Notamacropus eugenii: one gene and its partners. The protein of the gene in region 2 interacts with the protein of the main gene of each other region in a pairwise test. Links are inferred from orthologs where the notes say so. Each region holds a gene or a part of one and is shown on either strand. Other genes may lie near its edges.

Region 1 (7,481 bases), on a different chromosome or scaffold from region 2:
GCACCTTTACACCTCTGCCTACTGTCTCCTGAGCCTCAAACACTCTGCTCTCACCTCTGCCTCTTAGAATCCCTCATTCCCTTCAAATCTCAGCTTATGCCACCTTCTACACAATGCCTTTCTTGATCCCGTCAGAACTTAGTGCTTTCAAAAGAAAAAAAAAACTTTTGATTTACTTTGCATGTACTTTGTATAAATGTACATGCTGGGAGGTGGGGGAATGGCACGTTTACTTCTGTCTCTCTATCCCCAGATAATAGGACGTAGCAGGTACTGGATAAATGTGTGTAGACACTTCATTTTACTCCCTTCTGCACACTCTCTATTCTACTCAGCTTGGCCTGCTACAGCTGGTCCCTGTGTGGGACATTCCATGGCCTATGCCTCTAACTTTCTATAGGAGGTTGCCCATGTGAAAAATGCACACAGCCTTCTCACTTCTCTGCCTAACTAAAGCCCTCATTTCCTTCGAAGACGGCCCAGGTGCAGTCCCTTTCATTAGTGAAGTGCTCTGAATATCAAGAAGTTTTTCTTTATACTGAGCTCAAATCTATCTCTCTGCAACCTGTGTTCACTGTCTCCCTAACAACCTCAACTGCTCCTCTTTCAAAACTTCAAAGGCCTTTTGAAATGAACTTCAATTCCAAAGACATTCTGAAGCTTTTCAAAGGAAGGACTTAGATGTTCAGACAGTTTGCTTTGAGGTCTTTTTTAACTATCAACAAAAAAGGGATCCAGAAATTTAACATTCAAAAGTTAAAGATTAAAGCTGCCACCTTCCATAAAGACTGAAGGTTATATCTGAGATTATGACTAGTATTCTAAGCCTCACAAAGTTTCTCACCCACCACCCTAGACCTAGGTGCACGGCATCTGAAGAATTCACAGGGTTCACAGAAAAGATAAAGTGCTCTGCCCTTGGGAATTGAGAAATCATCTAGGTGTATGGAGTGTGATGTATCTTAGCCAAGTGTTAAGTGATGCTCCTGAACAAGCAATACACACTTAGGAAGCCTTTTATGGTTCAGAGGGTCCTTTACTGTACACAGTGTGTGAGGATGGGGGGACGTATGACCTGGTCCCTATCCTAAAGAATTTCATAGTCTAGATAGGAAGAGATTTGTTCCAGACAGCTATAAAGACAGCAACAACATCAGGCAGCTGGTAAGCAGCACAAATCACGAGTCCTGTTAAGATTCTGGAGCAGGAATCACTCTATCTGGGTTAAGGATGGCTATACGAACTATTCTTGCGGTGAGAAAGAGTAAAGAAGCTTCTTTTGTTCATCTGTTTTGTTTGGGGAAGAAGAGTTAGACAGTACAGATCTTCCTGCTTGAGCAGGAGATGCACTACTTAGTACTTCCCACTGTTCCTCAATTCTCTGCTTTGCTGTATACAGCAACAGGAAAAGCTCCCCAGCCCAGAACTCTTCCATCAATTGGGCAGTCCAACCCAAAAGCTACAACGCCAATTCAAAGTACCATAAACTTGGTGTGTTTCAGAGTTGGAAGGGGTGTCAAAGGTCACTCCCTCCTTCCTGGCCTGGCTCAATCCACTCCCCTTTTTGCCACCTCTAATTAATTATCGCAAAGCTTTTCATTATAAAGGCTGAATCTGCCACTGCAGCTCCTGCAAACTCACTGTGCCTCATCCTGAATCTTTCTTCCAAATGGAAAGACCTCAAATACTCAGAAGCCAGCTATCTGTGCTCAGAGTCTTTTCTACCCCACAGTAAACACCCCAGTTCCTTCAACTAGAGTTTCTTCCCCGTCCTCACTGGTCATCCTCTTCTGGTCCAATAATTCCAACTTGTTTATCTCCTTCCTAAAATGTGACAGCCATAACTGAACAAAATACCTCCGACATGATCTGACCATAGGGACGATTTTTTTTAACTGAATCATTCAATCACTAACCCTTCATCAAGCCGCTTACTACGTGCTATGCAGTGCCACGCACCGGGGATACAAAGAGACAAAAGGATGCCAGACAGCATGCAAATAAATACAAAGTAACTACGTCCGAGATGAACAGGAAATCATCAACGGGGCAAAGACACTTAGAACTAAGATTGGTTGTGAAGGCTCCTGGTGAAGTGCAGGACTTCCCTTCGCCGCATTCGGGACAGCCTTCATTAAACACAGAAACACCTGCTAACAGACACCTCCACCCCAGGCAGGCCGCTTGGCACGCCGTGCCCTGCCGCTGGCAGTCACGTCCATTTCCTGGCCGTAGGATGGGGATGCCAACACTCACGCTAACGCTTCCCGTGAACACAAACACAGCCTCCCGGCGGCTCGTCCCGCCCCGAGGGCCAATCACAACCTGGGCAAGCCCTCTCTCCGAAGCGCCAACCTTTCAAACCCTGCGCGCACCTCCGCAGGGGAGCTCCGCTCTTTGCTGCCCCGAGGCAAGTCCGCCCAAGGACTCCCGGGCCTCGCGATCGGGACGAGGGGGCGGTGGAGGAGGGGGAAGAAGGGGAAAGGAGAGTGGGGGCTCGAGGGGGAGGGGAAAGGAAGAGGGACAGGAAGTGGGGGGGTAGGCTGAGCCCAGGGCCACCTGCAGGGGCCTGCCTGGGCCGGCCGGCTGGGCTGCGTCTACGCGGAGGACGGGGACGCCCCAGGGGTCATTCCTAGACGCTCTACGAGATCAGGACACTAGGTGTGCGGTCGGAAGACCCGGGTTCAAGTCCCGGCTCGGAGGCACTTCCTGGCTGTGCGACCCTGGGAGAATCCCACCCGTTTTCATCGGAGCCTCGATTGCCCCATCGGTCGAATGGGGACATGGACTCCCCACGAGGAGAAGCCGCCGGAGGGGAGGGCTCGGCCCGGCGGCCTCACTCACTGTCCATGCCGGGGAAGGGCAGCGGCTGCGCCCCAAGCTGCTGCTCCACCGCGATCTCCAGGTCGAACTTGATGTGGTCCACGCTCGCGATGAGCTCCTGCATCGTAGCGGCCGGCGCGGGCCCTCCCGGGACCCGGATCGTCCTCTTCTTCCTCCTCCTCCTCCTCCTCCTCCACTACAGCCCGGGACCCCGGCCCGGACCGGCCCGTGCTCGCTCTCTCTCTCCGCGGACTCCTCCTCGGCCGGAGGCCGGCGCGCCAGCCCGCCCGCCTCCCCGCCGCTCTTCTGGCCTCAGCCCGCCCCGCCCCCCGCGGGATGCCGGGAGCGCGACCTCCGACCCCGGACCATCGGTGGCCAATCGGACGCCGGAGGGGAGGAAGGCGTGGCTCAGGAGCCGGATGCGGACCTATCAGGCGCCGATCGCGGGGGCGGGCAGGCTCGCGGGCTCTTACGTGCGCTGTCGCGCCGGTTCCCTCGCTCTCGTTCTCCCGGGCTTCCTTCCGAGAGCCGGCGGCGGAGAGGACCGCGTCCCGGTGAGGCTTCCTTGGGGGCTGCCGGGGCGCTTGTGCGCCTGCGCACCGCGCGCGCAGGGCAGGCGGACCGGGGACGGCAGGGTGAGTGCAGCCGGGGACGAAGCTTGGGGGACTCTCGCCCTATCACTTGCTTACCGACCCGGAAATATCCTTCCACCCCCTGAGCCCCAGCGCCAGCATCTGTGCAGACCAGTGTCGCATGAGCTGGGATGGAGTGGTGGGCCTTAGCTCTCGCTCCCCGTTGCACGGACAGGGAAACTGAGGCCCGGAAAGAACCCACTTGCCAGGCAGCAGCAGGCAGTGGTGGAAGCCGCCTGGGCCCCTGCCTGCCTCAGACTGAAAGTCCGGCCTTGGCCCCCACCCCCATCTGAATGGCCGAACGGTAGCTTTGGGGTCGGGCCCAAGTGCCCGCGCCGGGACAGCGTTTCCCTGGGTCTGTAGAATGAGAGGGCTGGGATTCCTGAAGACGTCAGGCCCCAGTCTGACCTGAGGGTCTCTCCCCTCCCCCCCACATTGTTCCAAGCCTGTACACATCGTTCTCACCCCTGGGGTGGGGGCCACCAGCAGCGCCCTTCACGTGTTGGAGAACAGCCCGGCTGAGGGGGGTCTTAGAGACTTACTCCCCTCCCACCCCGGGAAAGAATGAGCCTGGGATTGCCCCCCCCCCCAAAAAAAGGAGTTGCAGGTAGTCTGAGGGGTGATACATCTATGTGATGCTTTGTAAGAGGCTTTCCTCACAGCCATCCTCTAGAATAAAGCAAGTTTTATCCCTTTTTGTAGATGAGAAAACTGGGTCTCAGAGAAGTGGCTTGACGACCTTTTACAAAGTGGCATAGTGACTTCCAGGAGTCTAACTTAGATCTGGTGTCTAAATCAACATTCTTTCCTCTGCAGGCTATCCAAAATAATTCATATAAAAACCTTATATGAGTCTGTTTGGCAGTTCCTTACTTTTTTTCCCCTTAATATTTGAATTGACTCCAGGACCCAGACTGGATCAGTGAAACATCCATGGTAGTAGACAGCAGGAAGAGGAGACATGAAAATCATACAGCTGTTCTCCAACCCCTCCCTGGCAGGATCATTTGCCCTAAGACACCTTAATCCATGGGTGGGCCCCAATGGAACTAGATGGGTAGCTCAAGGAAAGAGCCTGGTGTTTCAGAGGGGCTCATGCCAGCTGCTCCGATGCCCAAGATGGAAACCTCAGTGTGGGATGCTGAGACTATTCAGTTCCTCCCTCCCCAAATTCAACTCAAATGACTGGCCCCAGAAAAAAGTAAACAACAACTCTGCAGTGCTTAGTGAATCTTGTTCTCCAGCCCAGCCGGACACAAATGGAAATGAAGAGGAAGAGACTTTTGGGACTCTGTCTGACAAATATTCATCCAGAAAAGTGTTTCGTAAAGCTACGGCAGACTTTCACAACTTAAGGCTTCAAGAATATGAGGATGAGGAAGATAAAGTACTGCAGCAGCCTTGGAAGGGGCGGCGGAACACCCCTCATTGGTATTTCTTTCAGTGCAAGAGGCTGATAAAGGAGGACAAGGTGAGTCCCCTAGCTCTTGGTTAACTCCTATGAAAACCACATCTGACTGACACATCACTTTCAGAACTCTTATAAGAATCTCCTCCTCCACTCAGACTTCTTTACCCACTGAACCCTAAACATACCAGCAAGACCCCATCCTCAGATGGCATCCCCTTTGCCTTCTTCAGTTTAATTGAACAAACATTGTGGTTTATCGGCCGTGTCCCAGGCAGCCCTGGGTAGACCAAAATAAAATAGCCCCTGCCTTCTTAGAGCCTATAGCCCCCATTCGTCCTTCAAGTCTTACCTCTTCATTCATTCATTCATTCATTCATTCATTCATTCATTCAATATACTTAACTGAAAAGCTGTTTTGGATAAGGCCCTGTACTAGACGCTGAAGGGGATACAAGGAGAAACACGACTCAGTCTCTGCCCCCAGGAAGCTTACTATTTGTATGGGGGATGGGATTTGTACACAAATCCAATGTAATATTACCAGTATTTAAGTCCCTACGGTGCCAGGCACAGGGGATAAACATCTCTATGGAGCCTACAGTGTCCCAGGTGCTGTGCTGAGCATTTTGCAGATAATGTCTCATGTGATCTCACAGCAAAGCCGCTGGGAGGTAAGTGCTGTTATTTTCCCCGTTTTACAGTTAAGGAAACTGAGGCAGACAGAGGTTAAGTGACTCGCCCGTGGTCACACACTTAGTACTGAGGCTGGCTTTATTCACATCTTCCTGACTCTACTTCACAGTCTGGCTGCCTCAGCTGTACTTAAGTACTGCCCTCCATCATTCTGGCAGTTCGAAGGAAAGAAACATCATTTCCATCCATAACAAGGTCTATAAACTTGGTTTTTGGAGGTTTTCTTCATATATTTTGATGTGTGCTTCAATATGATGGATTTCCTTCATAATCCTGTGTATTTTATGCATTTAGGAACATTCTTCTGAGGAGGGGTGCATGGGTTTCCCAATGAAGCAACAACTCCCTGACCCAAAGAAGGCTGAGTCCATTGTTCGAGAAGAGGGAAGGTTTCTAGGAGCTGTCATCAGAACTGGGCTCCTGAGAAGCCTTCTCTGATTCCTTCAACCCACACTGATTTCTTCTCCCATTTGAACTGGCCTGCACTTATCATAGTCCTCATTTGGCACTTGACAAATTCTTAGCTCTTTTTTCTAAGTTTATTTATGTCTTCTCTCCCCAGTTAGAGGGAGCTGTCTAGAGGCAGAGACTGAGTATAAGGCTCAAGACATAATGCCATGCACGTAGTTGGCACTCAGTAAATGTGCATTGACCAAAATTTGTTTGAAAGAGGGCTCTGAGGCCTGGAAGGACTTATGCGGTCTAATGCTGAGCGAAAGGAGCACAACCAGGAGAACTTTGTGCACAGCAACGACCACAGTGTGTGAGAGTTTTTTCTGGTAGACTTGGAACTTCATAGCAACGCAGGAACTTAAAAAAAAATTCCTAATGGTCTTCTAAGGCAAAATGCCTTCCACACTCAGAGAAAGAGCTGTGGAATTCATTCGCAGAATATAGCAGATCATTTGTGTGTGTGTGTATTATGTTTTGATTTGTTACATGACTTCTTCCATTTATTTTACTTGATCGACATAGCATGACTATAGTGAAAATGTATTCACTAGGAATGTATGTGTAGATCCTATATAGAATTGTATGCTCTCTTGGGGCAGAAGCGGGGTGGTGGGAGGTAGGTAGGGGGGGAAAAATCTAAGTTTTATGGTAGTGATTGTAGAACATTAAAAATAAAAAATAAAAAAAAAGAAAGAGGGCTCTGGAACATAGCCACCAGGAGCCCAGAGGTTTCTTTTGCCTCACAAGCTCTAGTCTGTCTAACCTAGAATAACCACATAGTCTCAGAAGAGCAGCTGCTGGGCTTCTCCTTAGGCTGAATTCAGCCATGAGAGAAGAAGAGGAGAGTTGAAGGGGTGGTAAGGTATAAAGATGGGCATTTAAAGATTAGGAGAGGGAACCAGTGAAAAGAGACAAAGTGTCCATGTTGTACAGGGTAAGTAGGGAGAGAGGGATGGAAAAGAAAATATAAAGGCAGAAGGATTGGGGACATGTTACAGCCCCAACAGATGGAGCAGCCCAATGTGGAAAAAACAAGAACTGTTTTTTAACGACAAGACCCTCATCAAAAAACTGTCCTTCCCTGCCTTCCTCTCAGGCAAGGACAGCTGAGAACCAGAAAGGTAGGGGGCTCTAAAAAAGGAAGAAATGAGGCTTGGGCAAAGTCTCTACTAAGGGAAATCTCCCTGGTGTTAATCCAGGTGACAAAGTAAGCACACATCATGGGATGTGCATGTAGGACATCGAATTAGAGGGAGGGTGGCCTTCTGGATTGGGCTGGCACAAAGTCATTGTGATATCTGTCTTTTTATCTTATTTGCTGACAGTGGAGGGCGAAGCAGGTGATGGGAACCCCAGAATGGTTATTGGTGTAGCAATGGAGACCTCTTAGGGATTTTTTTTCTCTTCTTTTCTTCTTCTTCTCTTCTTTTCTTCCCTACCCCAGAGAAAATATTTCTGTATTCTAGACC
Region 2 (7,330 bases):
CTGTGCAGAACTCCTCTCCAACTCAATCTCCAAGCAACAGAATGGCTTATGTTTGAGGGATCTATCTATATTATACTAGTACAGCTTTTAGAAAAATTAGGGTTACCTCTAGGTTATCACATCATAATGATGTGCCATGGTAGGACTAAACAAGAAGATGTAAAATAATAAATAAAACAAAATTCTACTCATAAAGGGATTTGCTATCCTGGCAGAAAACTCACATTGTCCCAAGGAATAATACTTAAAAGTTCAACAAAACACAATATTTAATTGCATATATACATAAAGACACAAAAGCATGTGAACACAGGCACAGTTCTTTGCCTTCACGCATAGTTTGTATATAACATGAAAAATCGTATATCTTTATTATGTTACAATTATTTGTTTCCTCTATCTTTCCTAACAAACAACCCTCCTACAAGGCCCTAGTTACCTAGAGGGCAGACTCTCTGCTTTACTTATCTATAGCACTCTGATTATCTTATAGGTGCTTTATGAACGTTAGCAGTTTGCCATCACCCCATTAGGAGATTGAGTGAAATATTTTCCACTTAGAAATCAACATTAAAACTTACATATGTAAATCTGGATAACCCAACTGAACATATCAGTCAAATCCTATACACCAATTAAGTTTCCGGAAAGGGTCAGGGATTCTTGTTTGAGACCTTGACCACTGTCACTAAATCTACAAACTTCCTTGCATGTAGTAGGTCCTCAATAATTATTGTTTTTTGTGATTGAATAAAATACTTCACTGCGTTTTCTGAGGCATTGTAGGAAGCTACAAATTAAATAGAAGACACAGTTCCTTGCCTTTTCAAGAGCTTATGGCTTAAGGGCCAAGACTGGGATAAACTCAAATATAAAGACTAGGGAAAATCTAGATTGTCTATGACTTCCACCTCTAAATGGTTGTCTGAATCTTGGTAAATAAATTTAACCTTTCTGATTCTCAATTTTCTTGTTTACAAAACTGACTTAATCAGTCTGTCATTTAACTGAGAGCTATTCTGGGGACTTGATAAAACATTTTAAGAGAACTAGGTTGGAAATGGATAAAATGAATTATTAAAATGCAAATTCTAAAGATAAGGAAAGGAAAGCCTACATGTACTCAAGTAGAATTTTAAACAGATTTTCATGGTGCTTATGAAGGAGTATTGGAACAAACAGAACTAGGAAAAGCTTACATTTATTCTTCTCTATGTTAGTCAATTCATTGCCTGCACAGGATTAATTTTCATAGTTACATTGAGAAAATATTGGGAATTGTAGGAAATATTGGAATTGGACTCTTGATAGAACCAGATTTACATACACATCCCAGTGTCCTGTGAGCGGAAATGAAGAAAGTCGCCATTCAAAGAAGAAGTGGAAGTTATGAGAGCATTCTAATGTAGAGAAAATAAGGAGCTCTAAATGTAAACATTCAGAAGGGTCCTCAAAATGAAATTTGTTCATAGAGCATGACTTCTTCTGAAAAATTGCCATGCCTACTTATATCACAGAGTGTTTGTTTTGGTTTTTAACTATATTCTGAATTTTGTGGATGACAAACTTACTAGTATATATTTTGGACAATAACTCTTACAGTCATTCATGTTTTGTTACAGGTAGGGATGCAGGTATTGGGGGTTAGAGGAGAAGGACTAGACATCTCCAAGAGGAAACATATTCCTCCTTTTAATACTCAATCTCATGGCAATTTTTGACACTTCTCAACATGATCACTGAGGCAGAACACTTTTTGCTATTCAAGATTCTTATATATCTCCTATGATGTTACATTCTACTTAACTCCTTGATGAATATTTTTTTAATTTTTTTTTATTTTTTAATGTTTAACAATCACTGCCATACAATTGAGATTTTATCCCCCCCACACCTACCCCCCCACTACCCCCCTCCCTCCCCATGACTGCATATAATTCTGTATAGGTTCTACATATACTTTCCTATTGAGTATATTTTCACTATAGTCATGCTATGTAGTCAGACTAAAATAAATGTAAGAAATCATATAACAAATCAAAACATGATACACAAAAACATACACATACACAAACATGATCTGCTACATTTTGCGAATGACTTCCATATTTCTTTCTCTGAGTGTGGAAGGCATTTTGCCTTGAGAACCACCATTGGGATTTTTTTTTTTTTAAGAAGTTCTTGCGTTATTACGAAATTTCAAGTCTACCAGAAAAAACTCTCACACACTGTGGTCGTTGCTGTGCACAAAGTTCTCCTGGTTTTGCTCCTTTCACTCAGCATCAGGTCATATAAGTCCTTCCAGGCCTCTCTGAAGTCTTCTTGTTCATCATTTCTTATGGCACAATAGTACTCCATTACATTCATATACCATAATTTATTCAGCCATTCCCCAATTGATGGACATCCCCTTGACTTCCAGTTTTTGGCAACTACAAAGAGTGCTACTATAAATATTTTTGTACATGTGGGACCCTTTCCCATTTTTATGATCTCTTGGGGATCTTGATGAATATTTTGGACTGAAGTTAAAAACAATTTAAAGGCCAGTCTTAAATAATAACAAAAAAGCAGTCTCTCTCTCTCTCTTCCCCACCCCCCCAAACATACGTGTGTGTGTGTGTGTGTGTGTGTGTGTGTGTGTGTGTGTGTGATATCTAGCACTGGATCCAGATGGCTCAGGAGGAGAAGTGACCTTGCACAGTCCTCCCTCACTCAAAACTAAGCCAAGTTCAAGTCATGTCATCATTTCTCTAATGTCATGGTCTTCGAAAATGAAGGACGAACACAACCTTCAAGTGGACTGAGCTGCCTGAGTGGAGAGCCACCTAGCTGGGTAACTCAGCTTATCCTCTTCTTTCTCCCTCTCCCCTTCCTTCTTCTCTCCAAAGGAAGGTAAATTTGGATGGCCATAGACTGTCCAGTTAACTTGAGGTTTACTGATTACATGTCTTTCTTCCTTCCTACCTTCCTTCCTTCCCCTCTCTCTCTCTCCTCTCTCTTTTTCTTTCTGTTCAATAGGTCCCTGCCCAAGCTCCACTACATAGCTGGCTTAGAGTGATTATCAACAGTACCAATTTCTTTTTTCCTCCTAACTTGACTGTTCTGTTTTCTTTTGCTCATTAAAGGGGCCATTCCCTGACTACTTTCTGAAAGAGGCCTATTCACTGAATGGGCATTACCTCCCTCCAGGTGAGTACCTGAAAAGGCAAAAGACCAAGGTCTCCCATTGAATCCTAGGCCATCTCCACTCATCCTGAGGACTATCTGGTCACTGGATCCAGATGGCTCTGGAGGAGAAGTGAGGCTGGTGACCTGCCCTCCCTCACTCAAAACAAAGTCAATTTCAAGTCATGTCAATTTCTCTGACAGCATGGTCTTCTTTGAAAAGAAAGGATGAACACAACAACACATCTCTCTTAACAGGGAAGCATTTGAGATAATTGGAAGGTAGGCCAGGGGCCAACACAATCTTAAAACAAGCACTTCTTTTATTTTTCTGTATATTTGAAAATTTAACATCCTTTTAAAAAAATTTTGAGTTTTAAATTCTATCCCTCTTGCCCTTCCCCCACAAGCAATATCAATTATATATACTTGTGAAGTCATGCAAAACATATTTCCACATTAGCCACCTTAAAAAAAAAGCAGGAAAAATAAAGTGAAAAAATAAATTAAAAAAAGAAAAAACACGCTTCACTGGGCAGTCAGAATTCTTCAGTTCTCTCTGTAGGCGTATCACACTTTTCATCTTGAGTCTTTTGGAAGTGTCTTGGCTCGTTGACTTGATTTGAATACCTATAAATAATCCAGGCAGGTAATTGGGAAAGGGGCTAGTATAGGAAGACAGAAGGGCTCCACAACAAAAAGTATGAGAACTTCCTTTTACAAAATTATTTTAAAGCAATTTTGACGCTACGATGTGCCCCTGTCCATGGGCACGCAGAAGAAAGCCTGACTTCCTTCGACAAGGAGCAGGAAGACCTTTCCAGGGGGCGGCTCCTCCTCAAAAAGTCTAGCACCGTTCACTGAACTCAAACCGGATCGCTGTGTGCCCCAAAGCCAAGGGGTCACCGCGCCCGGCGCAGCGCTAATTCCGTATCCTTTCTAACACAGGACGTTTTTCTGAAGATGGAGCGGAAAAAAACACGGAGGAAAAAAGAAAACCGCGGACCTGAGGAAAGTACGCATGCAGGGCGGAAGCACACCTAAGCCAGAGAAGTCTGAAGCTGTCAGGACTGTGAAAATGGGAGAGGGTTCTGAAGGAGAGGAAGGATGCCCAGAGAGGCAGGAAATCGTGCTGGAGGAAGCTCCACCCTCTCCTAGCGTGCGGGGGAGGGGCAGGCGCTTGTCTCGCGTTCGCGCAAGCGCGCACGCAGGCGCACGCGTACCTGGCTGGGCTGGCCTCGCGTCGCGCCGCTGAGTTCGGGCTGCGCGTGCGCGAGCGAACCTGTGCTTGGGGAGGGGGGCTCGTCATCGTGATCGCCGCCTCGGTCCGCTCCTGTGCGGTTCCCAGTCCCGCGCCCTCACACTCCCCCATCGGAAGCGAAGCTCGGGGGGAAGGCCCGGCTGGTGGTCCCGGCATTTGTTCCCAGTCGTAGCCCGGACGGCCATGTCGGCCGGGGAGGTGGAGCGGCTGGTGTCGGAGCTGAGCGGCGGGACCGGTGGGGATGAGGAGGAAGAGTGGCTCTATGGCGGTACGCAACTCGGGGTCGCTCCTTTTCCCCTCCCCCCCCTCCGCCGGTTTGCTCCAGGCCTCTTCTTTCCGCGTCCCGCGGTAGCGGGGGGCGGCGGGCGTGCTTGCGCCTCGGACCCCGGGCCTTGGGCCTCCCTGCCCCGGCCGGGACGCTAGGCCCGAGCGCCGCGCGCGTAAACCCTTCGGGAGCTCCTCCTTCTGCACCCGCAACCCGCGCCTCCCCGGGGCCCCGGCTCCTAGCTCCGGACCCGGCCGCGGCCTGCCCGCCCCCTGGGGTGCGAGCCCCTGAGCGCCGCGGCCGCCGGAGCTGGGCTCCGGGCCCCTTCGGGCCGTGTTCTCCCCGGCCGTGGTGATGCTAGAAAGTCCACCAGAAATAAAACAAGTGGCGGCAAGCCGGGGGACTTGTTGGCACGTCCGTCGCAGACGGACCAGGTGGCTCAGGGCCCGCGAAGAGCCCGACTTGCTTGTTGTTGGTCTTTTTCCATTAGCCCTGGATGTAGCCAGACAACCTGAGCGCATCACCCGAGGAACTCACGAGCCCCACGCGCGGAGTTACAAGCTACTCAATAAGTGTTTGTGGGGTGCGTGGGCTTGGCCTCCCGCCTCCTACTGACGTGTCCTCCAGACACCTCAGCTTATCCCTTAGTTTACGTTTCCTGTAGTCACGTTTCGCCTGCTGATTTTCTGAGAGTCTAACCTTGTCTTGGATGCTGTTGGCCTGGATCAGGCAGACGGATGTTTGACATGTCCGAGTGACTTCCGGACACGGTCACGGCCTTGGAATTGCATAGTTAATAAGATGATACCAGGCTGTACCAAGCATCCATTTAATGAGACCAAAATTAGACTGTGTGCCAGGAACAATATCAATAGCATTAAATAAATTTTAAATGAGATTTTGAGACTCCAACGCCTGAGAAACTTAACTTAAAATATAAAAATAAGGTCAAATTTTCTATTTTTGAAAAATCTAAAAGCCGCAGATTTTTAGATATTTGTAAAAAAGAAACAGCTGTCTGTGACATACAGGGTGAATTTTGAAAGATTGGGTTAGTATTTGTGCTTCCAGTTTTAAAGATTCGTTGACAATTCATTTATGTTTTTTTCTTGACAGATGAAAATGAAGTTGAAAGGCCAGAAGAAGAAAATGCCAGGTTAGTGAAATTCCCGATTGATAGCGGTACTGATTATGTAGTGGTGCCAGTCTTACCATTGTTTATAGTTAGGAATTTGGACTTTATATGTGATGATCAAGGTTAAGCTGAAATCTGTAGTTGATTAAGGTTTTAAGGACCTGCTTCTAAAATAGAGAGAAGAATTTTCTAGTTTCTGTCAGGTGCTTGGGGATAGAGACTGAACCTATGATTTCGTGGATATTGAGAACTTTTGTGTGAGGAAACCCCTTCTGCCAACACAAGCTCCTATCTTCTCTGCAACCTGTAGTCTTAGAGTTTCCTAGAGTAATGAGAGATTAAATGAGCTCCGAAGTCACACAACCAGTATGTTTTAAGTTACCTTCACTGCTCGGTCAGCTTATGTGCCTTGTGCCATGCTGCTTCTGATGCTAAAAACTTAGGACATGGTATTTTTGTTATTTTCACATTTTTTTTGTTTTTCTTTTTTACTATTTACTACCTTACAGTGATTCAGTAAAACTATGTGCCAAATGGGGAATTTTCTGAGTTTATACATTCCTTAGGCTTTTCTAAAGTTCTAACTAGTATAGTAATAATACAGTGGCCAGGAAAATTACCCCTTCCCAATTTGTTTAAATGGCTTAATGCTTTATTAGTAGAGTATATGTTTGTTTGATGTGCTTGGGTGAATGTGTGGCTACCTTTTATTGAATTAATATACAAGAAATCTCCAGTCTATAAAAATTCAGTTTACCATCATCCTATATAAACAAATTGCCATCTATATGCTGCCCTGCCTCTTCTCCACTAAGTCCATAGATCAGTGTGAAAGAATTTCAGCTTATAGAGAATTTCTGGATACAGAAGAGACAGACCACTGAGAAGATTTAGGAGACTGGTTCATGTAATGCCTTTACTACTTAAACGCCTTCCTAGACTGCCATGTTAAAACTTTATAGTAGAAAGAGCAAGATATCCGAGTTGGAAGACCTTGGTTGAAAAGTGTCCTACACTTGTAGTTCTGTTACCTTGGGCAAGACATTTAACCTTCCTGAAGCTTTGGTTTCCTTTTCTGTAGAATGAAGGTATTTATACTTGTTCTTCCAACTTTACAGAGATTTTTTTGGAAAAAGTACTTATAAACCAAAAATCACTACATAAAAGTGGACTCCTTAATATTTTTTAATATCAAAGTTTGCCTACATTTTGAGTTAAGTAGATTTTTGGGAGCAAAATTTGGAATCTTATTAGTTTTCAATTTCTATGGGAAAATGTATTCCAGCTTTTTTTATAAGCTTATAAAAGGCAACCCATTCTTAAGTTAAAGACTACCCATATCAGTTCTGATTAATCTAGACTAAATTGTTTTCAATCTTTGCTTATTATTGCAGTAATCATATTTTGAGAAAGGACTCCTGAGGTACAGTCCTTTGTTAACATTAGATTAGTGCTGCTAAGTTTGTAAACCTAATTATACTATTTGATAAAGGTGATCATT
Region 3 (8,146 bases), on a different chromosome or scaffold from region 2:
TAGGAGGCATTCTGGGAAATCCTTACAATAACTAAAATGAAATTTCTACAGGTATTACCTAATGATTATTTTGGTGTCTAACTAATGACAGAAAGGAATATCCTCTTAAATTTCACACAGAAAAAGTCATAGGAAAGTTTTCAAAACCAAACTGACTAAATATGGCTTCCAGACTCAACATTTTTGCTCAGGAACACAGAGCTACAGACTGCTTGAGAACAAGAGGAATTTGCTTATCACCTAGGGAGGCCCTTGGAACAAAATTTCAAAAGCAAAAACTCAATTGATGCTGACAAGACTCCTTCATTTCACTGGAAAACAGAATAAGTGGCACATAGAACAGATGCCAAGGGCAGCAGAAATCCGACCCTCAGAGGGTCAGTGGTCTGAGATCTACCAAGCACATCTCACCCAAAGCACAGGGCACAGAATAGCCCAAGGTCTCCTGCTCCTCTTCTCACTGGTTGATTTTCTACCTGAGCAGGCATGTATCAGGTACTGCCCTTTGTACATGGGAACAATTTGGTGGCTCAATAGACTATGGGAGGAAAACCATTTGTGGAAGGAAAACTGATTTTCTTAAGATAGATTGAAAAAAAATTAGTCTTTCAAATAAAACACTTGAGAGATTCAGACTATTCTGAGTGAGCCAGCCAGCCAACTGCCTGCTCCTGACAGGAATGAAAGTAGTCTTAGCCAACTTGTTGGAAGACAGAGCAGGAAGTGAAATGGTGGTTCCCGCAGAGCACCATGTGCCACCTTCTATTTGATGAGGCTGCCTTTTGAATTTTAAAGGCTGTAATGACAAACACTAAATTAAACACTTCTTTGGGGACTAGGAGAAGACTGCATGGGGACTGCTAGGTCCATACAGTACAGGAAAGTGGTCTTGAATTTGACTCCTTTAGGTAAAGCCTGAGTCACTGACGACTACAAGTCTGGTGTGAGCCAGAAGGACACAAGATGCTGGAGAAGGAGCTATAAAAGAAACGAGAGGGCAGGAGAATCACAAGAAGCCAGGGACAGAAGCTACAGAACATTTATGGCAGAGACAGCCCACTTTCAGCTGCTTTTCTGGAACTTGCTTATTGGGAAAGAGACTTGGCTTTGCTGACTAGCTGGAGAAAGGCCGGGAGGCTGAAAGCCAGGAGCCAAATCCTGCTGCCTAAGGGAGCTGTCTGGGCTTGTTGCTCTCTGCTGCCATCTACTGCTGAGAGAGGGCAAAGGTGCCAGGCTTGTGTTGTCCTCTATTGGCTGTGTCTGTTCTGAGGGTGTGTGGGGTTTCTCCTTCGTTCCGAGAGAGGACCATGATTTCAGGGTGATAATGATATGATTCACAGTTGACTTTGATTTGAGGGAGGGAGGGCTGTGCAAGGTCACCAGCCTCACTATCTCCTCCAGAGGCATCTGGGTCCAGTAACCTGATATTTATCCATCAGGATGAGGGGAGATGGCCCAGGATGCAGTGGGAGACCCTGACCCTTTTAGGCTAAGGCCTTTTCAGGTTCTCATTTTGAGTGAGGCCACACCCATTCAATGAACAGGCCTTTTTAAGAAGTGAGTCAAGGGATCATCCCTTTAAGAAGAAGGGATGGGGAACTGGGAGGGGAAGACTGTCCGGGTTGCTGGACAAAAGAAAAACAGTTACTACTGACATTCCCTCTGAGCCAGGAGGGCCCAAAAAGAACCATTAAGTGGTGCTTGGGCAGGGACCTATTGTTGAGGAACAGAAGGATGGTGAGGTTTTGCATTTGTAAGCTATGATTTAATGTGAGAAGGCTGCCATTCGCAGGTCTGCTGAAGTTGGCAGCTGTTTGCCTTAAGGGAACTGCCTGTCACTGAAAGAACACAATACTGTCCCTCCTCAGCATCCTACTAAGGTTGCTCAGAGCAAAACAGGGTTGGCAGAGATACTGGAAGGGTCTGTCATATCCTTCTCCTACTCATTTTACAGATGAAGAAACTGAGGCAAACAGAGTTAAGGGACTTGCCCAGGGTCACCAGATTAGAACTCCGGCAGATGAGTCTGCCTGACTCCAGGTCCAGCTCTCTACGCACTATGGTGCCACCTGGTATTAAATGAGAATTGTCCTTAAGGTTCAATTGCATCTATTACCTAGTTCTAAACAATGTTTATCTGACCTTTGAAAAGAAAGGATCTTTTTGGTGACTCAGGGTCAACAATCAGCTCATTTGAAAATCCACCAGACAGAGAAACAGTAAGCAAGGTGGAGGACATGTATAAATCTGAAAACAGCCTTAATATTGCAATGAGAAGAAACAGAAGGTTTGTTTCTGCAGAACATTTGGGATGTTTCAGGATAGTTTATAATGCTCATGCCCAGTGACCATGGAATCCACACAGCCTCACTTTTGTGCTGAAAGCAAGCAGCTATTTGTACCATCTTGGCCACATGACTGGAAGGGAACAGAGGAAGCTACTCTGGGGCACTGTGCAGAATGCACATGTATCCTCTCACTGAGGAGCAGTTTGCCTTTGAATATGGAATCCTTGTGGCAGTTTGGAAAAAATTTGATGATACTTGAAAAATTGCAAGAACATTGTGCTTCAGCAGAAAGTGCTAGAATGTCCAATTCATGATGTGCCTGATTATGGCTGTGTTAAATCACTTCAGAAACAAACCTATGGGCAGGTAGTAGAGGAAAGACCTACTTGTAACCTAAGTGGGCAGCTCATTGCTTAAAGCACTATGAAAGACTCCCTAATGCAAACTCCTTGGATTATCACCACAAATGAAGACAAAGCCAATGATTCCGAGAACCACTGAACAGGAATCCTGACTAGAACCCTACCTCTGTCAATTTGTGAAGAGTATTTAAAAGCTGGAGAAGCAAAGAAAGAACTTGCACTCAGATCATGCCTTAAGGATGTGTATGGAGCCACTAGGTGGAACTACAGCAGATCAAGCACCAGGCCTGAAGTCAGGAAGGCTTCTCCTCTGAGTTCAAATCCAGCCTCAGACACTTACTAGCCTAATGACCTTAGGCAAGTCACTTCACCTGGTTTGTCTCAGTTTCTTCATCTGTAAAATGAGCTGGAGAAGGAAATGGAAAGTGGCTCTAGCATCTCTGCCAAGAAAACCCCAAATGGGATCATGAAGAGTCAGACTTAGTAAATCATTTAATACAGAACTTGTCATTAACCAATAGAAAAGTATCATGACTGGCCATTCATTTTTTATCATGTTATCATTATCATTACTTAAGCAGTTAGAAATTTTAAAAAATGCATTTACAATGTTCAAAGAGCTTGTGTAATTCTTCTAGAATTTTCTACCACATATTTGTGTGAACAAGCATTTTTTCACTTTATATCAAAATAGAGAAAAAAACTTGATGCAGTACCAGATTTAAGACTATTTGTCTGGTATTAAGCAAAATGTCGCAAACATCTACTCCAATAAAAAAATGCAACATCAAAATAGTTTATACGTGATTATGATATTATGCTAACATCTTCCCACTTATAAATTATTTCATTTAAATGTTTTATTTGACAAAATTTGCCAAACAAAATAATTTAATATGAAGTCTTACAGATAATAGTGAGCATATGAGATCTTAGATTATTTCTTTTCATTCTTACAGAATGTCCCACAAAAAAATCCATAACTATTTTAGTTAAGTTTTATAATTTTGTATTGTTTTCATAACTGTAGGTAGAATAAACTTTTTTGTGATTACCGTTACATAATGCAAATTTTAGTTTGTGTTTTGGGGGGCAAAAGCAATCAATATCGCTATTCTAAGCTCTTGATGAAGAAATGTAAATGTGCATTATGTGGTGTGGTATATTAAATTACCTTGCGGGTTCACCTCCTAGCTACGGAAGGAGTCTGGTTTCTTCCCGGCTCGTATAACCACATGAATGCAGTGTTCGCACACGCGCACACGCAGATCTAGGCTGGAAGGTACTTTACATGTTACCAAGACTGCTACAGTAGCGCTCGTGTAACCGCATGAATGCAGTGTTCGCACACGCACACACGCAGATCTAGGCTGGAAGGTACTTTACATGTTACCAAGATTGCTACAGTAGCGCTCGTATAACCGCATGAATGCAGTGTTCGCACACCCACACACGCAGATCTAGGTAGGAAGGTACTTTACACGTTACCAAGATTGCTACAGTAGCGCTCGTGTAACCGCATGAATGCAGTGTTCGCACACGCAGATCTAGGCTGGAAGATACTTTACATGTTACCGAGATTGCTACAGTAGCGCTCCGATTTTACAGGGGACTTACTGAGGGTACAGGGGGCGGGCCTCTGGGTGCCCGAGCGCCAGGCACTGAGCTGCCTTGGGGGTCTGTCTCTGGGTGTGTATATAAATGTGTGTACATACAGAGGCCCGATCCGCAGCTTTGGGGTCCCTCTTCGATCCTTGGCCCGCAGGCTGTCCCCACCCAGGGTCTCCTTTTACACCTGAGGAAACTGAGGCACGGAGCCTGGCAGCCCTGCCAAGGTCTACCTTGGGCGGGGAGGTAGAAGGGGGCTTTGGACTGCCTCGGTTTCCCTGCCTGTCATGCTAAGGGCACCCCTCCCCCCGGGCCGCTGCCTGCAGCAAGTAGCCCGGCACGCCCATCCCGAGTTAGAGAGGAAACAGACGCAGCCTCCACCTCCCCGGAAAGAGGCAAGAGGAAGAGCCGCCCCTCACACGCACGCACAGATCTCCCAGGAGGAGGAGCTACTCCCAGCCACCCCAGAGACCCGGAAGCGATGGAAGGATATGCGCACGCGCCCTAAGACTTTGAGTCATGTGGGTAACTCCTAGGCGCTGGGGGAATAGGGAGGGTGGGGTGAGGGAGTGGGTGGAGTCTCTCCGAGGCCCCGCCCCTGACCCGGTCGCGCTTGCGCAATTGCCCCTGACGCTCAGGCCGGCACCCGCCGAGGCCGGTCAGGCAGTTGCTTCCTTTTCAAAAACTCCTCGGTAAGATGGGGAGGGGACTGCGCGGGGCCACGCCTGAGCTACCTCAGTTTCCCCACCTGTGATGGGAGTGGGTCTGGAGAGAGGGCAGAAGAAGCTGGGGCGAGGCCGCTGGAGCTGCCTCAGTTTTCTCATTTGTCAAATGTGCAAGGGCGGGCCCCGTCCCTCCCCCGATGCCCCGCCCCAGGCCCTGATTCAGGTGACCCTGGGTACCTGGCAGCTGTGCCAGAAGGATGCCCCAGCAGTGACTGGTGGGCGCAGCAGCAGATGTGCCCTCCTCGGGGAGGAGCTCGTGCAGATGGGCTTTTTCCTCGCTCTGCGTTGTGGGAGGGGGGGATTCATTGGGGGTCGGGCTTGGGACAGAAGGATAGTTAACCATCGGTGCGTTCTCTCTTGTGACAATAGAAACCAAGGGAAGATGAAGCCAGAGGAGCAAGAGCCCGACCCCATGGCCCCTCCCCATGGCACTGCCCACGGGGAGGTGCAGGTAATGTGGGAGCTTGGGTGTCTGGGGCAGGGTGAGCAGGGAGGCCACCCTGGTGAGCTCTGAGACTTAGCCCACAGTGGTCGCATTGATGACTCTCCACATAGGCTGGAAAGGCAAGATGGCCCTTGGCCCCATGGCGCTGCCCCTGGGGAGGCGCAGGTAATGTGGGAGCTTGACCCTCCACATAGGCTGGAAAGGCCCCAAGCTGGTGCCCATGGGGCACCAGCTCTGTCAGGGCCTGCTATGCTGGAAAGGCTTTGCAGGCAGACTCCGTGAGGAAGTGGGCATTGGCCATAGAGGGGCTGGGGGAGGCCACACTGAAGACTGCCAGTGTCTTAGAAGTCTGTAGGCAGAGGCAGGCACAGAGTCAGACAGACCTACACAGTGGGAGCTCTTTGTGTTTACATATCACTTGTGGAAGATGTGCATGAGTACCCTCCTTGAAGCTTAAAGGTTACAGGAAAGCCCAGATTTACCCCCAGGCCCCCAAAATGATCAGTTGAGGAGGGGGAATTTTTGTTTGTTTTGCTTTACCAAAAATGCTTTCCAAGTTGTTTCCTCCTGGGAGAAAGCTTCCTTGCCTCCTGGGATAAGGGATTCCATTTGCAAAAACTAAACATAGTAGGACCCCATCTGATTCAGAGCTAACAATTCTGTGGTGCTTTGAAATTTACAAAGAGTCTTACGTACAAGGACTCAGTGACACACCATTATTATCCCCATTTCACAGATGAGGAAACTGAGAATGGTTAAGCATTTTCCTAAGGCCACGTGACCAGTGTCAGGAGGAAGGATTTGAGTTTCCTGACTCCCAGTCCAGCATTTGGCTGCAACACTGTGCTGGCATTTAGATGGCATCATGGCCTGCATTTCTGGGGCGGCTCATTTGGGACGAGAATAAGGATGTAGTCAGATCAACTTCAGCCAAGAAACAAGTCCAGGACAGTGCATCTTGAGAGGCCTCTCCCCCAATCTCATGGCTAGCTGGGCAGGCAGGCTGTTGGTATTTGGAAGACTGAGGCAGTAGGCAAGGCAAGGCTGCCTCCCAGAGGCCCTTGAACTGGGCTGGACAGGAAGGAGGTAGGAGAGAAGGCAAGGTCGCAGAGGGGGAGGAAACCTGAGAGCTGGGACGCATCTGTGCCCACCCACATTGGTGACCACGTCACATTGTGAGGGATGGTAGGAGTGGGAGCCTCCTTCAGAAGTCAGTCCCTGGGTAAGAAGATGGATTAAAGTTGATCAAGTCCCTGAAGATAGGCCCTCTGGCAGCCTCTTAGCTCAGAGTGGATCAGACCGTTTGGTCAGCTTACAGGGTTACAGCAAGTGGACTGTCCACATCCATTGCATCCTACCGAAGTTATGCTGGAGCAGACAACCCATTCACCAGTGGAGGTGAAACAGAGGCCTTGGGCTTCCTTGAGGCCAATGGAAGCCTGTTCTCAGCAAACCTAGTGCCTTAGTCCAGCCTGCTGTCATCTGAGGCCCCTGCAGGAGCCCCCCTCAGCCTGAAGGCTTTGCAGGGGAAGCAATCAGTCTGCCCCACAAGACAAATGAAGAGGCATGTCTGGAAATGGTGCCACCTGCTGCCAGTACTTGTTCATGAGCTGTGCTGAGGCAGGATGGGTCCCTGAGTGCCTGGCGCCTGTCACTTAAACACCACCTGGATGCTCGTGGCAAGATGGGGCAACAGTGACCATCGGTTGACTGTGGCCTTTATTGAGATACACAAGGGGATGAACTATTTGCCCAGGCATTCTATCCCAGCCCCCATCTTATTTCCTTGATTTTGTGCAGAAAGTGAGAGAAACCAAAGAACAGAATGACGCAGAGAACTCAGAGCCCGAAGAGCTTGTGGCTATCGCAGATTACGCAGCAACGAATGAAACACAGGTAAGAATGGGCAAGGCCAGGTGTGACATCAGCCCAGTGTTCTGTGTGTTCCTGAGGAGGTGGTGGGGATGCCCTGTGACAGGTCTGTGAGGGCTGGGGGGGACATCTGGTAGGACTGTGGGGGGTGCAGGAGAGAGGAGGGACCTGGAGCAGAGACAGGGAGGAGTTACCCTCAATTTCTTTTGAGCTTGAGCCAGAATGACTGTTTAGGGGCCCAGTCTGTAGATTCTAGGCTGTGAGCAGAAGCTAATCGTGATTTGATATAGAACAACACACAGACACACACATGTGTGTCCTGTTTGTCTGTCCCTGGTTCCCCCTCTGGAGGAGTCCTCTCTTTATTGGGTTAAGCTGGTCAGACATTGGCACTTCTTTCCAATACTGACCTGACCGACAAGCAGAACAGAATGCAAGCAGAACACAGTGGGGGGGGTTGGGGCAGAAGGGCCCCACAGGCCTCAGGAGGGAGGCCCAACTCTCTTAGAGGAATCAAGGCCTGGGACAGAGGACACACTCAGAGTCTTGAGGGGCCAGACTTGTTCCATTCTCCTCACCAGCTCTTGACCCTGACCAGCCACCTGGGCATTGCAGATGGGCAGCCCTGGTTGGGGATTGTCCAGCTGCCAGTGTTTCCCAGGTCAGTAGGAGCTGTCAGTCAAAGCCAATATGCGTGGCTCATGGGACTGCCTGCCCTGCATTTTACACAGTTCTAGGCCTGCAACCTGGGGGCAACAGCTGCAGTGGTGGGGTCTAGTCCCCTCTGACATCATTCCAGCCCCAAAGATGTCAACCTTAATACTCTAATTTAAGGTGGCCACAGAC

What was found.
Region 1: the proteins of FIP1L1 (region 2) and CPSF4 interact in binary tests that used the Homo sapiens proteins (3 or more experiments, as listed by UniProt). The two-hybrid records come from large-scale screens. The link is inferred for Notamacropus eugenii from reciprocal best matches to the Homo sapiens genes FIP1L1 and CPSF4.
Region 3: the proteins of FIP1L1 (region 2) and PRMT2 interact in a two-hybrid assay, tested with the Homo sapiens proteins (2 studies listed by BioGRID and IntAct). The link is inferred for Notamacropus eugenii from reciprocal best matches to the Homo sapiens genes FIP1L1 and PRMT2.

The regions. Positions count from the first base shown.
Region 1 is NC_092874.1:379,805,613-379,813,093, forward strand, and holds the start of CPSF4 (cleavage and polyadenylation specificity factor subunit 4), read right to left. Parts: upstream 3,138-7,481; 5' UTR 2,948-3,137; coding exon 2,845-2,947; intron 2,666-2,844; exon of another isoform or gene 2,560-2,665; intron 2,522-2,559; exon of another isoform or gene 2,356-2,521; intron 1-2,355. Other genes in the region: PTCD1 (pentatricopeptide repeat-containing protein 1, mitochondrial), read left to right, coding at 4,417-4,926. UniProt on the Homo sapiens protein: Component of the cleavage and polyadenylation specificity factor (CPSF) complex that play a key role in pre-mRNA 3'-end formation, recognizing the AAUAAA signal sequence and interacting with poly(A) polymerase and other factors to bring about cleavage and poly(A) addition.
Region 2 is NC_092877.1:104,814,113-104,821,442, forward strand, and holds the start of FIP1L1 (pre-mRNA 3'-end-processing factor FIP1), read left to right. Parts: upstream 1-4,319; 5' UTR 4,320-4,612; coding exon 4,613-4,697; intron 4,698-5,810; coding exon 5,811-5,850; intron 5,851-7,330.
Region 3 is NC_092873.1:68,196,527-68,204,672, forward strand, and holds the start of PRMT2 (protein arginine N-methyltransferase 2), read left to right. Parts: upstream 1-4,839; 5' UTR 4,840-4,950; intron 4,951-5,352; 5' UTR 5,353-5,365; coding exon 5,366-5,434; intron 5,435-7,228; coding exon 7,229-7,324; intron 7,325-8,146. UniProt on the Homo sapiens protein: Arginine methyltransferase that methylates the guanidino nitrogens of arginyl residues in proteins such as STAT3, FBL, histone H4. Acts as a coactivator (with NCOA2) of the androgen receptor (AR)-mediated transactivation.